Linked DNA regions of Ovis aries. The protein of the gene in region 3 binds, or shares a complex with, the protein of the main gene of each other region. Links are inferred from orthologs where the notes say so. Each region holds a gene or a part of one and is shown on either strand. Other genes may lie near its edges.

What was found. The genes of interacting proteins can lie anywhere in the genome.
Region 1: POLR3D (region 3) and POLR3E share a complex: the UniProt entries of both Homo sapiens proteins name them as parts of the RNA polymerase III complex. The link is inferred for Ovis aries from reciprocal best matches to the Homo sapiens genes POLR3D and POLR3E.
Region 2: POLR3D (region 3) and POLR3K share a complex: the UniProt entries of both Homo sapiens proteins name them as parts of the RNA polymerase III complex. The link is inferred for Ovis aries from reciprocal best matches to the Homo sapiens genes POLR3D and POLR3K.

The regions. Positions count from the first base shown.
Region 1 is NC_056077.1:20,517,785-20,521,866, reverse strand, and holds the start of POLR3E (DNA-directed RNA polymerase III subunit RPC5), read right to left. Parts: upstream 2,808-4,082; 5' UTR 2,682-2,807; intron 1-2,681. UniProt on the Homo sapiens protein: DNA-dependent RNA polymerase catalyzes the transcription of DNA into RNA using the four ribonucleoside triphosphates as substrates.
Region 2 is NC_056077.1:658,985-663,139, forward strand, and holds the start of POLR3K (DNA-directed RNA polymerase III subunit RPC10), read right to left. Parts: upstream 2,808-4,155; coding exon 2,697-2,807; intron 1,368-2,696; coding exon 1,280-1,367; intron 418-1,279; coding exon 290-417; 3' UTR 1-289. Other genes in the region: SNRNP25 (U11/U12 small nuclear ribonucleoprotein 25 kDa protein), read left to right, coding at 2,806-2,883, 2,965-3,255, 3,700-3,790, 3,993-4,098. UniProt on the Homo sapiens protein: Core component of RNA polymerase III (Pol III) which synthesizes small non-coding RNAs using the four ribonucleoside triphosphates as substrates. Can mediate Pol I proofreading of the nascent RNA transcript.
Region 3 is NC_056055.1:43,365,489-43,369,458, forward strand, and holds the start of POLR3D (DNA-directed RNA polymerase III subunit RPC4), read right to left. Parts: upstream 2,804-3,970; 5' UTR 2,663-2,803; exon of another isoform or gene 2,611-2,662; intron 2,423-2,610; 5' UTR 2,418-2,422; coding exon 2,253-2,417; intron 1,283-2,252; coding exon 1,239-1,282; intron 1-1,238. UniProt on the Homo sapiens protein: DNA-dependent RNA polymerase catalyzes the transcription of DNA into RNA using the four ribonucleoside triphosphates as substrates.

The DNA.
Region 1 (4,082 bases), on a different chromosome or scaffold from region 3:
TCTTTCTTTATGAGGGTGAAAGAGCGAAAAAGTTGGCTTAAAACTCAATATTCAAAAACAGATCACGGCATCTTGTCCCAACACTTCCTGGCAAATACAAGGTGAAAAAGTGGAAGCAGTGAGATTTTCTTTTCTTGGGCTCCAAAATCACCACAAATGGTGACTGCAGCCATGAAATTCAAAGACCCTTGCTCCTTGGAAGGAAAGTTATCATTCCCCCATTCAAAACTCTTCAACTGTCACATAGGATAAAATCCAAATTCCTTTCCATGGCCCCAAGGTCCCATATGATCTTGCTGGGCCTCCAACAAGCTAAGCCCCAGCCAGTCTCAGGAACTTTGCACATCATCTATTTTCCTCAGGTCTTTTCAAAAAAGGCTGGCTCCTTTTCACTAGATATCACCCATCCCACTTCCTCCAGGAACAGACAAGTTTCCCTGACCAGTCACCTTAAAGGCCCCCACCCCTCACCCGTTCCAGTCACTACCAAATCCCTGTTTTATTTCTTTCATGGTTCTTATTATAACTTGGAATTACCTAGTTGGTCTATTTGCTTATGTGTTGTCTGTCTTCTGCACTAGAATGTATGCTCCATGAGCACCCTCTGTGCTTCAACCATAAAACAGAGATGATTTAATTTACTTTGTGGAGTTGATACGGGCATTATTATCTTTTTAAAAATTCATGCTGTTCTCCCAATATCTAGAACAGTGAAGTAAACACTTAATATAGTACAAAGACTGAGTAAATCAGTGCATGAGATCAGGCAGTGACAGACCCTTTACCCAGTGATCCTAATTCAGCCCCATCCAGAGACTGGTGGCCTTACAGTTCGGGCCTCCTGGACACTTGAGGACAGGGGTGTGGTCTGCACTTCCAGGCCACCACCTCAAGGCAGCAGTGACCACCTTGACCTCAAGAGGGTTTCCTGTGACCACAAAGATACTCTATGGCAGCGGCTCCAAGCACTGGGCACAGAAAACATCCCCACCAGGGGACTGTTCAACAAAGGAAAGGGGACAAGGTAAATCTAAGGGAGGGTCCAGAGCAGAGAAGATGCCTGAAGGCCACAGCTGGGTCACCCAGGAGTCTAACCTGTAGGCCAATCAGAAAAACAGAGGCCAACGGAAAAACAGTCTCCAGCTACTGGAAGGAGAGAGACAACACAAAACTGAATTAAGGGGTAAGGGGCCCAGGGTAAACAGTCTCAAAGTCTGGATTCTTATTGGCTGTGTGCCCCTTCGACAAGGCATCTCCCCTTTTTGAGTCACTTCAGTTTCCACCTCAATGCAAGGAGAGAGGTGGCCTAGAGGCAAAAAGAATTAATTCTTAACTCATAAGACCCTCCCTTCTCTAAGGACTTAATATATTCATCCTCATGTAATCTGTCCAATAGCTCTCTAAGTAAGGATGTATTGATACCATCCCCAATTAACAGAAGAGGAAACTCAAGTTCAGAGAGTAACTTACCCAAGGTCACAGTGCCAGAGAAAGGCAGAGCTAAGCCACAAACCTGGGTCTAGCTGATGTCAAATAGCCTTATTCTCATTCTTAACGACTATGCTGCGAGCTCCCTTAGTGGAAGGCAGGATGGTGTAGTGGGTAAAAGCCTAGACTCTAGAGTGAAACTGCACAGGTTCAAATCCCAGGTCTGCCCTCTGGTACCTCTACCCCGTCTAGCATCGTTTGATCTTCACTATTTTCACCCCAAAAATGGGTATTAACAAAAGTACCAACCTCAGAAAACTGTGAAGATTAAGTAAAGTAGAAACGTAATCCCTGGGAAGGTTTGTTACTTACTCGGCACAATGTTTTCTTCCAATATAAAAGGGCAGGAGACAGAGCCACGAAACAAACACTACAACCTGGCGCTTCTCCCGTCTTACCCTATATTTAGCTCTCATCACAGCCCTAGGAGGCGGGGGAATCCTCTTACCCCCAATTCACAGATGAAGAAAACCGTGACAACTGCTTTAAGCTCTCCTTTTTCTGCCCTCCAATGATTCTAAAGCTAACACAACAAAATGACTTTTTTTATTTACTGGTTTACTTGACGTGCTTACTGACACCTCGTCTGATCAAATCTTCAGGGCCGGCCCCATCGGCCGCACGTCGCTGGCTCCCAATTAGCACTGAAGGGTGGCTGGAATAAATGAATGGAGAATTCCAGGCCTAGCCGGACTCGAGCTGATCCGGTTCGGCGGCGAGGAGGGGGCCCCGGACACCCTCCCCCTGCCCATCGGGGCGGGCCGCCTGCCCCGCGCCACACTGTCCAATGGGTTTCGCCTCCCTCGCGGGTGGTCAGGCCCCCTTCTCACGCCCACCACACAGCCACTGCCACGAGCCGCCACGCCGGCAGGACACCGGCTGCCTTCGGACAGGTGCTCCCACAGGAGGCCGGCCTGAGCCGGGTGGGGCAAAGCGGCGGGACCCTGAGTCACCGCCGGTAGCCTCGGCCTTGGCGTCACCGACTGCCACGGCGAGGCGAGGTCGGAGCCTGTGGCCGGCCCGGGTCTCCTGGGGCAGGCTGCCCGTCCTTCCCGCGGGAGTCCTAAGAGGCCCCCGGCCCCTGGGCACCGCGCGGCGCGGGCCTCCCGGCCTACTCAGCAGCCCCGCCCAAGCCCACCTCGTGAGTACGGCCCGGCTCCAGCACGGGTGGGTACTGCCAAGACGGCACTCACCTCTCCGCGGGGCCCGCACGCGGGCGCAGCAACGGCCCAGGTACCCGCGGGCTGCAGAAGCGGCAGTGGCCAGACTCTCCTCTCAGGCAGCGGCCATGTTGCCGGTGGAGAAACTCGGGCGGACACGTGGGGGGAGCGAGAGGGGCGGGCCCTAGCGCTTCCTTTTACCCACAATGCCCCGCCCCGGCGCGCGCGGACCCGCCCCCTCCGCCGCTCCATTCATACGGGCGGCCAGCCCTGGCCTGGCAGCAGGGGGCGCTGACGCAGTAGCAAAACAGCTGGTGAGGAGGTAGCAAGGGGCAAAAAGCTCACTCTGGCAGCGGTGGGATTCGAACCCACGCCCCCGAAGAGACTGGAGCCTTAATCCAGCGCCTTAGACCGCTCGGCCACGCTACCCAGTTGTGAGTGGGGCCTTCCAGAAAGCTATTTAATGCATTTACATGCAAGTACACTTAATTTCTGATTGTTTGCTATATGTTTTACTTCATCCCTATAGAACTATTTTAGAAAGTATTGGCTACTAAAAATAAAATATTTTCTCCAGTAATTAGACCCACACTTCTTCCGAACAGATCTTAGAACAGTTTAAGAATCTGTTTTCTGAGTAGGACGTTTAACACGTTAAGCAGGTTAACCCACACGGGAATAAACGATGGATTTCGGCAGTAACCCGCACCAGGGCTTCCGAAAGCCAAACCCGTGGACTGGTGTAGGCAGTTTTCTCTAAAATTATGTGTTTTAATTTTTAGTTACACAGATAATATGTGAATTATTGCAAAATATGAAAACTTTGTAGATAAGGTACTAATGTTCTTTTACCTTCGGTCTCTAAGTCCCTTCCTCAGAGGTAACCGTTATACAGCTTAGTACACTGCGTTTCCTTCTGGACCTTCTATTGTGAATTTATGTGAATATATATGGATATATTCACGTGGATAGATATATCCATAGAAATAGGTAGTTTGTTTTTATTGTTATGGATTTTACATAAATATAAATATTAATCATACTAGTAGTATTTATTGCTTTTGAACTGTGGTGTTGGAGAAGACTCTTGAGAGTCCCTTGGACTGCAAGGAGATCCAACCAGTCCATTCGGGAGGAGATCAGCCCTGGGCTTTCTTTGGAGGGAATGATGCTGAGGCTGAAACTCCAGTACTTCCGCCACCTCATGCGAAGAGTTGACTCATTGGAAAAGACTCTGATGCTGGGAGGGATTGGGGGCAGGAGGAGAAGGGGGGACGAGGATGAGATGGCTGGATGGCATCACTGACTCGATGGACGTGATCTGAGTGAACTCTGGGAGATGGTGATGGACAGGGAGGCCTGGCGTGCTGCGATTCATGGGGTCGCAAAGAATCGGACACGACTGAGCGACTGAACTGAACTGAACTGAACTGA
Region 2 (4,155 bases), on a different chromosome or scaffold from region 3:
CAATAAACATGAAAGAGGAAGAGCAGGACCTCAGCAGGGTGCACTCAGGGACGGATACTCCCGTCCACACACAGCATGGGCAGAATCTGGACATTCTGAGCATCAAGGAGTTAATCTGCTGACTGGGAGGCGGGCTGGACTTCCTGACTCCCCGGGCAGCCACCCTTAAAGGGTCAGCTTTCCACCACGCCAGCCAAGACCCTCAGGACACGCAGTTCCCACTCGCAGCTGGGAATGCACCCTGGACAGTAAAGCACGCAGACGCTGACGCAGCTGGGCCACCCCGCCCTTAGTCCCGCCAGCGGTGTCCACACTGCGCGCTGCAGCACTTGTAGAAGGTGGTCATGGGCTCATCTGCAGAGCGGGTCTGCAGCTGCATGAAATAGGCTCGAGGATGTTCACACTTGGGACACGGCTCTGGCAACAAGAACAAACAGTGACCCACGGTTACTAAAAAAAACAAACGATCCTCATGATCAACATGCTTGTTAAAAGTGGACATTTCATGAAACACAGCAGCAGACACTCCCCAGCTCAACTAGTATCCGTCGCCTGAGGTGCCCTGCAAGGTTTTCCTGCAAAGGAGTGTCATTCCCACGGTGCTCTCACAACTGAGGGAAGGAGACCTGTGATCTTGATTGTACTTTTTTCTTTTTTAATTTTACTTTCACCGAGATTTCAATTCAAGAACCTTGCTCTTGATGAAAACTCCTTCAAACACTCAGACACTATTTGGTGTGTAATTCACCTCCCAGTGACAAATTCTGCCCATGAGAGATTTTTAACAGAGCAAATCTGGACGGCCCCCTCTGGGGTAAAAAGACAGTACTAATCGCCCTGAGCTCCTCCTCCTCTCTGGCCTGGTCGTGTCGAGGGCTCTCTTTCCTTCCTGGGTCACATCTGTCACTATCAGAGATGAATCAAGACTCAAATACTTACTTCACAGAATATTTAGGGCAGTTTAATACTCTTTACCTTTGACTTTAAAAGAAAACTATATTAGAACAGAATCCTTACACTGATTTTTTAATTAATCCCATCAGCATCAATATGAGATCACCCTGAGACTAACTCAGGTCTGAATCACTCCAAAGCTTGTGCCAATACTGTCTGCGCAACAAATACATTAGAGAAGAAAACAGTTTCTAGTCTCAGAAGCCCACTTGATACATCACAGACTCTGCTCTGCAGTGGCACAGCCAGCGGCCTCATCCTTACCTACAGCTCCTGGCTGCACCCTTACCCAAAGCTCTGAAACAGGAAAGGTTTTCTCTCTCACCTGCAGTAGAGTCAACATTCTCCCAGGCAGCTGCTCCACCAAGCACATCATCCACTTCTTTCAGCTTTGGATACTTCCGATTTGTTACCTAACAAACAACAAACAGCAGGTCTTCAGACTCTCCCAGGAAGCGACCAGTACAAAGCCAGGTCACCAAACCATGCCTTCAAGTATCAGCCCAGACTCTGCTTCCTGCCTTCAACATGAAGGGAGGAATACTAAAGGAAAGCACAATTCCTGCTGTCACCGAGCAGGAATCTCCATGAGAATCAGGAGGATCCACAATTGGGATGTCCCCATAAAAAGATTCTGTGAGGACTGGATGAAGCAACTGAGCAGGAAAGGAAAAACGGCGCTGGTGTGACCCTCTTGTTCTCCCACCTCTACAATACTTGGTCACTGAAATAAGACATCCAAAGACGACTAAGGCCAAAGTGGAGCACTTGGCAGGGTGGCCCAGCCACTCTGCCCAGACAGAGCTTTTTCTAACTATTTTCCAGGTTTTACCAGCCGTCCTTGAAATGTCACCCTTCATAATTTCAGACTCTAAACTCCCACAGCACTGCTACATGGTGGAGCAGCATATAAACTAATGAGGTAACACCGGAGAAGGCGATGGCACCCACTCCAGTGCTCTTGCCTGGAAAATCCCAAGGACAGAGGAGCCTGGGAGGCTGCGGCCCATGGGGTCGGGAAGAGTCGGACACGACTGAGCGACTTCCCTTTCACTTTTCACTTTCCTGCATTGGAGAAGGAAATGGCAACCCACTCCAGTGTTCTTGCCTGGAGAACCCCAGGGACGGGGGAGCCTGGTGGGCTGCCGTCTATGGGGTCGCACAGAGTCGGACACGACTGAAGTGACTTAGCAGCAGCAACACCAGCGTGCTCTACTTCTAAAAATTATTAAAGGTGTTCTAAAAAGGAAAGAGGCATTATCGACGGAAAGTAACATCTGAGTTACAACTGAGTTATAACACAGTATGTATCACTCCGTACTGAATACCCAATATATCCCAGATGTTCAGACTAGAACATAAGAGGGGACGAAAACTGAAAAATGTATACCCTAGTGTTAACAAACCAGGCGCACAAGTAAATTATAAACCGCAATGGAAGGCAAACGAGTCCTATTAAAAAAATAAGATTAGGAGAAGGGCGAGGTGGAGAAAGAGGCTGCAATTTTAAATAATCCTCCGGGTAAAAGCACGAGCGACGAGTGACACGGGTACAGAGGGGAAGAGCGACCCGGGCGCAAAAGCCCTACACAGGCCCCCGGAGCAGCGCGCGGCGGGCGGAGCGCCACGGGGCGGCCGGCAGGGCCCAAAGGACGCCGGTCCAGGCGGGGAAGGAGGCGGGGAAGGCCCGGGTCGCGCGGGCGCCTCGCGAGAGCGTCGGCCTCCGCGCCGCGCGCGCCCACCTTGCGCGTGACGTTGTGCACGTAGGGGCAGGTGTTGCACGCGAAGCGGTGGCAGCGCGGGCCCTCCTCGACGATCAGCCCGTTCCCGCAGCCCGGGCAGAAGAGCAGCATGGCCGCCACAGGCTCGGCGCTCCCGGCAGCGCCCGCGGCAGCACGGCGCCGGCGTTCCCAGCGCCCCGTGGTCCCCGCCCCGCCCCCTGCCAGCCCACCAATAATCACGCCGCCTCCCCGCCCCCAGGGAGAGCAGTGGCGGGCCGGCTCCCAGTAGCTCATCTCTCATTGGTCCTCGAGTGGCCCCGCCCCCGACGCCCGACGGTGGGGATATAGTAGCCTTCCCGGCGCGTGCGCGACCACCTCTGTCGCGCGGACCAGCTGTGCGGGCGGGGCCGGCGGGAAGCCCGGCGCCCTGGAGGAGCCGCGGGTGGCGGCGCGGCCGGAGCCGCAGGACGACGAGGAGGACGAGGAGGAGGCGCTGCCGCACTCCGAGGCGGTGGACGTGTTCCAGGAGGGCCTGGCCATGGTTGTGCAAGACCCGCTGCTCTGCGACCTTCCGATCCAGGTGCGCGGGGGCCGCGTCGTTCCCCCGGGCGGGGGTCGGGGCGCGGACGGACCCTAGGACCGCTGGGGGCTGCGGCCTCGGCCTGGGGAAGGCGTTTCCGAGCGTAGCGGAGCGTCTAGGCAGAAGGCTCCTGCCGGGCCTGGAGGCGAGCGAGGCTTTGGCCTCGGGTGCGAAATTTAAAGGGGCGCCGAAAAACCGACTGGTCAGGACATTTGACATGTCAGCAGTGTTTTAAAAACAACCAGAAATTGGTGTGCAGAAGCCTGGGGTAAGCAGAAATAATGTAATTTTCAAGTAAAAAGTAAAAGATCGATGTTTCCCATTTTCCGTTCTCCTCAGACTTCAGGAAGGTTCTGCCTAACTTTATAAACGCTGTCAGCTTGTCTGCCTTTGTTGTTTTGGGTGGTGAAGAGAGCTCCCACCTCCATCCTTGGTCTTTTCCAGGTTACTTTAGAAGAAGTTAATTCCCAAATAGCATTAGAATACGGCCAAGCAATGACAGTGCGAGTGTGCAAGATGGATGGAGAAGTTATGCGTAAGTGCTGCCCTCCCGCTCTGGCAGAGCAGTCTGAACCTTCACAGGAGAGGATGTTAGCAGAGCTGGTGGGTGGGAACTCCGGGCTGTGCCCAGGCCTGTTGGGCACACCCACACCTGCCCAGACTTGAGCTTTGGGAAGTTACAGAGCTTCTGGGCTCTCCTCTTGCCACCTGACGCTGGGGATCTTCTGCTTGTGCAGCTGTGGTTGTAGTCCAGAACGCCACGGTCCTGGACCTGAAGAAGGCCATCCAGAGATACGTGCAGCTCAGGCAGGAGCGCGAGGGAGGCATTCAGCACATCAGCTGGTGAGTGGAGCCTCGGCTCCTCCCTCAGCCCTTCCTGGGAGACGGGGAGGATGTGCC
Region 3 (3,970 bases):
CAAGGGAAACTACTGACGTCACCTGCGTCCGAGAACTGGTCTTACTCTCCCACACCACTCTGCTCCACCGGAGGGGAGTTTATGAGCCAACAACTATATCATGAGAAGCACAGTACCCACCTGTGTGGGTGGTCTAGCACGTTTTTCACTTCCTTGATGAGGCAGAGTCCTTCAGTTTACTGTACTTTACCTTTTCGAAGAGTGTATACTAGAACTATACCACAAAAGGTGAATTATAGAGATTGCCCCCAAATGTGGATTTTTTTTTTTTTTTTTTTTGGTATCGACTGAAAGTGGGAAAGTTGCAATGCAAAAGAACGAAAAGGAAAACCTGACCCATCTCTGCCCAAACTATTGGCTCTCAACTCTGGCTATAAAACATAATCTCTCTCTGAAGTAAGTCAGGCAGAGAAGGAGAATTGTATGACATCCTTTATATGCGGAATCTAAAAAGAAATTATACATATGAATTTACTTCAAAACAGAAAAAGACTTACAGACTTAGAAATTGAACTTGTGGCTGCTTGTACACACTGTTGTATTTAAAATGTATAACCAAAAAAATAAATAAATAAAATGCATAACCAACAAGGATCTGCTGTATAGCACATAGAACTCTGCTCAATGTTATGTGGAGGCCTGGATGGGAGGGGAGTTTGGGGGAGAATGGATACATGTATATATATGGCAGAGTCCCTTCACTGTTAATCTAAAACTATCCCAACACTGTTAAATGGCTACACCCCAATAAAAAATTAAAAGTTAAATAAAAAAGATAATCACTGTTTCACTGCAAAAAAGTTAAAACAATTTTAAGGATGGATTCCCAGGCATCAGTATTTTTTTAAAGCTTGCACATTAGAATCACCTGGGAGCCAGGGTCGCTAATCACTACTGCAAAGAACTAAATCTACAAATTTAAACTTCTGAGCCACCTACTTAGTTATTTCCCCAAAGTCCAAATTCAGAGCAAGTAAACAAAGGGGCAAGGCTTCCCAGGTGGCACTAGTGGTAAAGAATGCAGGAGACACAAGAGATACAGGTTCCATCCCTGGGTTGGGAAGATCCCCTGGAGAAGGGCATGGCAACCCACTCCAGTATTCTTGCCTGGAGAATCCCACGGACAGAGAAGCCTGGCGGGCTACAGTCCCTGGGGTGGCAAAGAGTCAGACTCAAGCAAGTGACTGAGCACAGACGCACAAACAAGGCGCGAGGATTCAGGAGGCCTAGCTACTTACTCTTCCTTGATCTTCCGACTGATGATATTTGGGGTGAAGGTTTTCTGAAAGTAAAATACAGGAGTCACTGATTTGGTAAATTCTGGTCCCAAAGTACAGAGGAAAGGAAAAACTTCCAAAGGGCATCTTCCATGGATGAAGACCAATATGGCTCTCTTTGGCACATTCCATACTGTTGTCAAAGATTTACTGAAATGGACAGGTGCTTGAAAAGGAGGAATGTCATGCCAAGGCAACGGTGAAGCTATATATAGAAGGGGGCATCAAAAAACATTTAAATGGCAGCCTCAGTTTCTGCCTCCTGAAAGGACAACCCTCAGGACTCTAACAGCAGAGGAATTTACCTACTCTCACACTTCATCTTCAAATTGCTAAGACCAGACAGTATTATAGAGGATGAGCTCTACCAGCAAGGTTCAAATGGGAAAGACAGTTCTGCCAGCACTCACAAACTGATGATTGGGTTAGACTGCCACCAGAATTTACAAAGGGAAACTGAGGCCTTCAAAAACTGGCTGCTTTATGCTCTATCATCCTCCCCATTCTCTTTACAGTCTACCCGTCACATCTACAGTCACAAACATAATATAAGACACAGAGGCTCTACTATCACACCTAAGACTCAATACTTTGGACCAGAAGTCTGCACACTGGGATCCAGGGCAAATTCAGAACTCTCTTAAATTGCAGGCAAACTTTATGTCTGCGTGGCTTTCATGGGTTTCTGAAAGGTATCCAAGACACACCAAAAGGAAATAAACCCTGCTCAAGTTGCTTCTGAGCTAATTAGGATTCTCTGCTATTCAGCCATCTCTGAGAGCCATGTCAACATCTTGGACCCAGTATCTTGACTTGAAGGTAGGGCAGGCTCCCCAAAAATTGCAGGCGGAAGTCTGAAGACAAGATTCGCAAGGCCCAGCACCACGCCTGGCACACAGTAGGCCCTACAGTCAAACCCCCAAGTGCCTGGAATTCAGCGTAGCTGGATTTCTTTAGAAAGGTGCCGTCGGGTACCTTCTTGACTCCCCCGAGGGTAAGATCCCTGGAGCGGATGGAGGGAAGGCGGCCCGGGGTGAGGGGAGGTGCCGGCCTTCGCCCAATAAGCCCCCGCGCCCCAGAAAGGAGGGGTCGGGGCCCTCCCGGAGCGCTGGGCTCGCCCGCGGCGTTTCCTTCCGACATGATGCCTGAGAAAGAAGGCGAAAAGGGGTAACGAAGTCACTCGAGGGAGAAGGACTCGCGGACCCTGAGCGGAACCCCACCCACGTGGCCTCCCGCCCCCCGAGTCGGCGCGTCCCTCCGGCAGAGACTCAGCTCCTCCCCCTCCCACGTGGCGGGACTCCCCCGAACACCCCGGCTAGGGCCCTTGGCTCGCCTTCTCTCCAGGCCCCCGGCCAGGCACGAGGCAAAGACGCACCCCTCCGCACCTAGGATGTAGTTCCACACCACGCGTGTCCCGATTTCACCTCCGACGCGACGCGCAGCGGGTTCCCAGTCTCGGCGCCAGGCGGAAGTCTGCGTGGCAGGGCCGGGGCGCCGCCATCTTGTCGCGGGGCGGAAGTGATGTCGGTGGGCGGGGCCGGGCCACAGTATTTATCCCGCGGCGTCTCGCTCGCCTCCGCCTTCTCTTCCCGGTTCTTCCCGGAGTCGGGAAAAGCTGGGTTGAGAGGGCGAAAAAGGAAGAGGGGAAGGGTCTAGGGGAAGGGTACGTTCGCGAGGTCTTGGCCCCGGGCATAAGGTGGGGGCGCACAGCTCAGATCTGGGGGCCGAGAGGCAATCTGGACGCAACGTGGGAGTTCGTCGCTGGGGAGCCTCCGGGTCGAGACTCGGGATGGGGTGGGGATGCGAGGCAGATTGCGAGACCCCGACTCAGAGTCCTGGAGCTCTAGGCTGCGCCCGGCCGAGCCTCGATTGCCGGCTTGATGATGACCTTGGAGTGGTCACTGCACCTCCGGGCTGCGTCCTCATTCTCTTTGGGGGATCTCCTCGTCGGACTCCTGGTGGGGTCCTGGGGTGGGGCTGTGGACATGGGGCCGTGAGCACAGTGCTGGAGCAGCTGCAGCGGTTGAGGGGGGTGCCTCAATCGCACCTGCCCTAGGCTCATGACTCTGGGTCCTTGTATACACGCTTGTTCCAATCCTGGAACCTGAAAAACGAAGTTCGTTCTACTGGGAGGGATAGATTTAAAGAACTTTCATCGTGACTCTGACGTTTGTAATTAAACATAAAAAATGTCCTTTACTATCGTTCCCTCCCCTCCCAAACCTGTAACTTTAGAGATAGCTTGAGGGAAGGGAAACATTAGTTAGAATTTCACACAGAGTAACTATTAAAACTTTTGCAATATATTCCAGCCCCATCACAGAGATTTCATATTGTACCACAGTTTTGAATCCTCCCTTTTCAAATAACATTTCTTTGTGGCTGTATCAAACAACTGCATAATTCTTGGGTGGCTGTGTCATGATTTGCCTGTGTCGCTGTTTGGACACAAAATGGTTCTTTTTTCCTGTTGTAAATACCACTGTTTTGAACATCTGGTGCCTTTAAAGTACTTTAGTCTTTCGGGTTCTATTCCTAGGACAAATTTCTAGACTTGGCGATAAGTGGTCAAAAGAAGATGTACTTTAATTTTTTGTTTGTTTTGCTCTGAAGTAATAGTAGATACATGAGTAGTTGTATGCAATAGTGCAGAGGGACTACCCTGGTGACTCAGTAGCTAAGTCTTGGGGCTC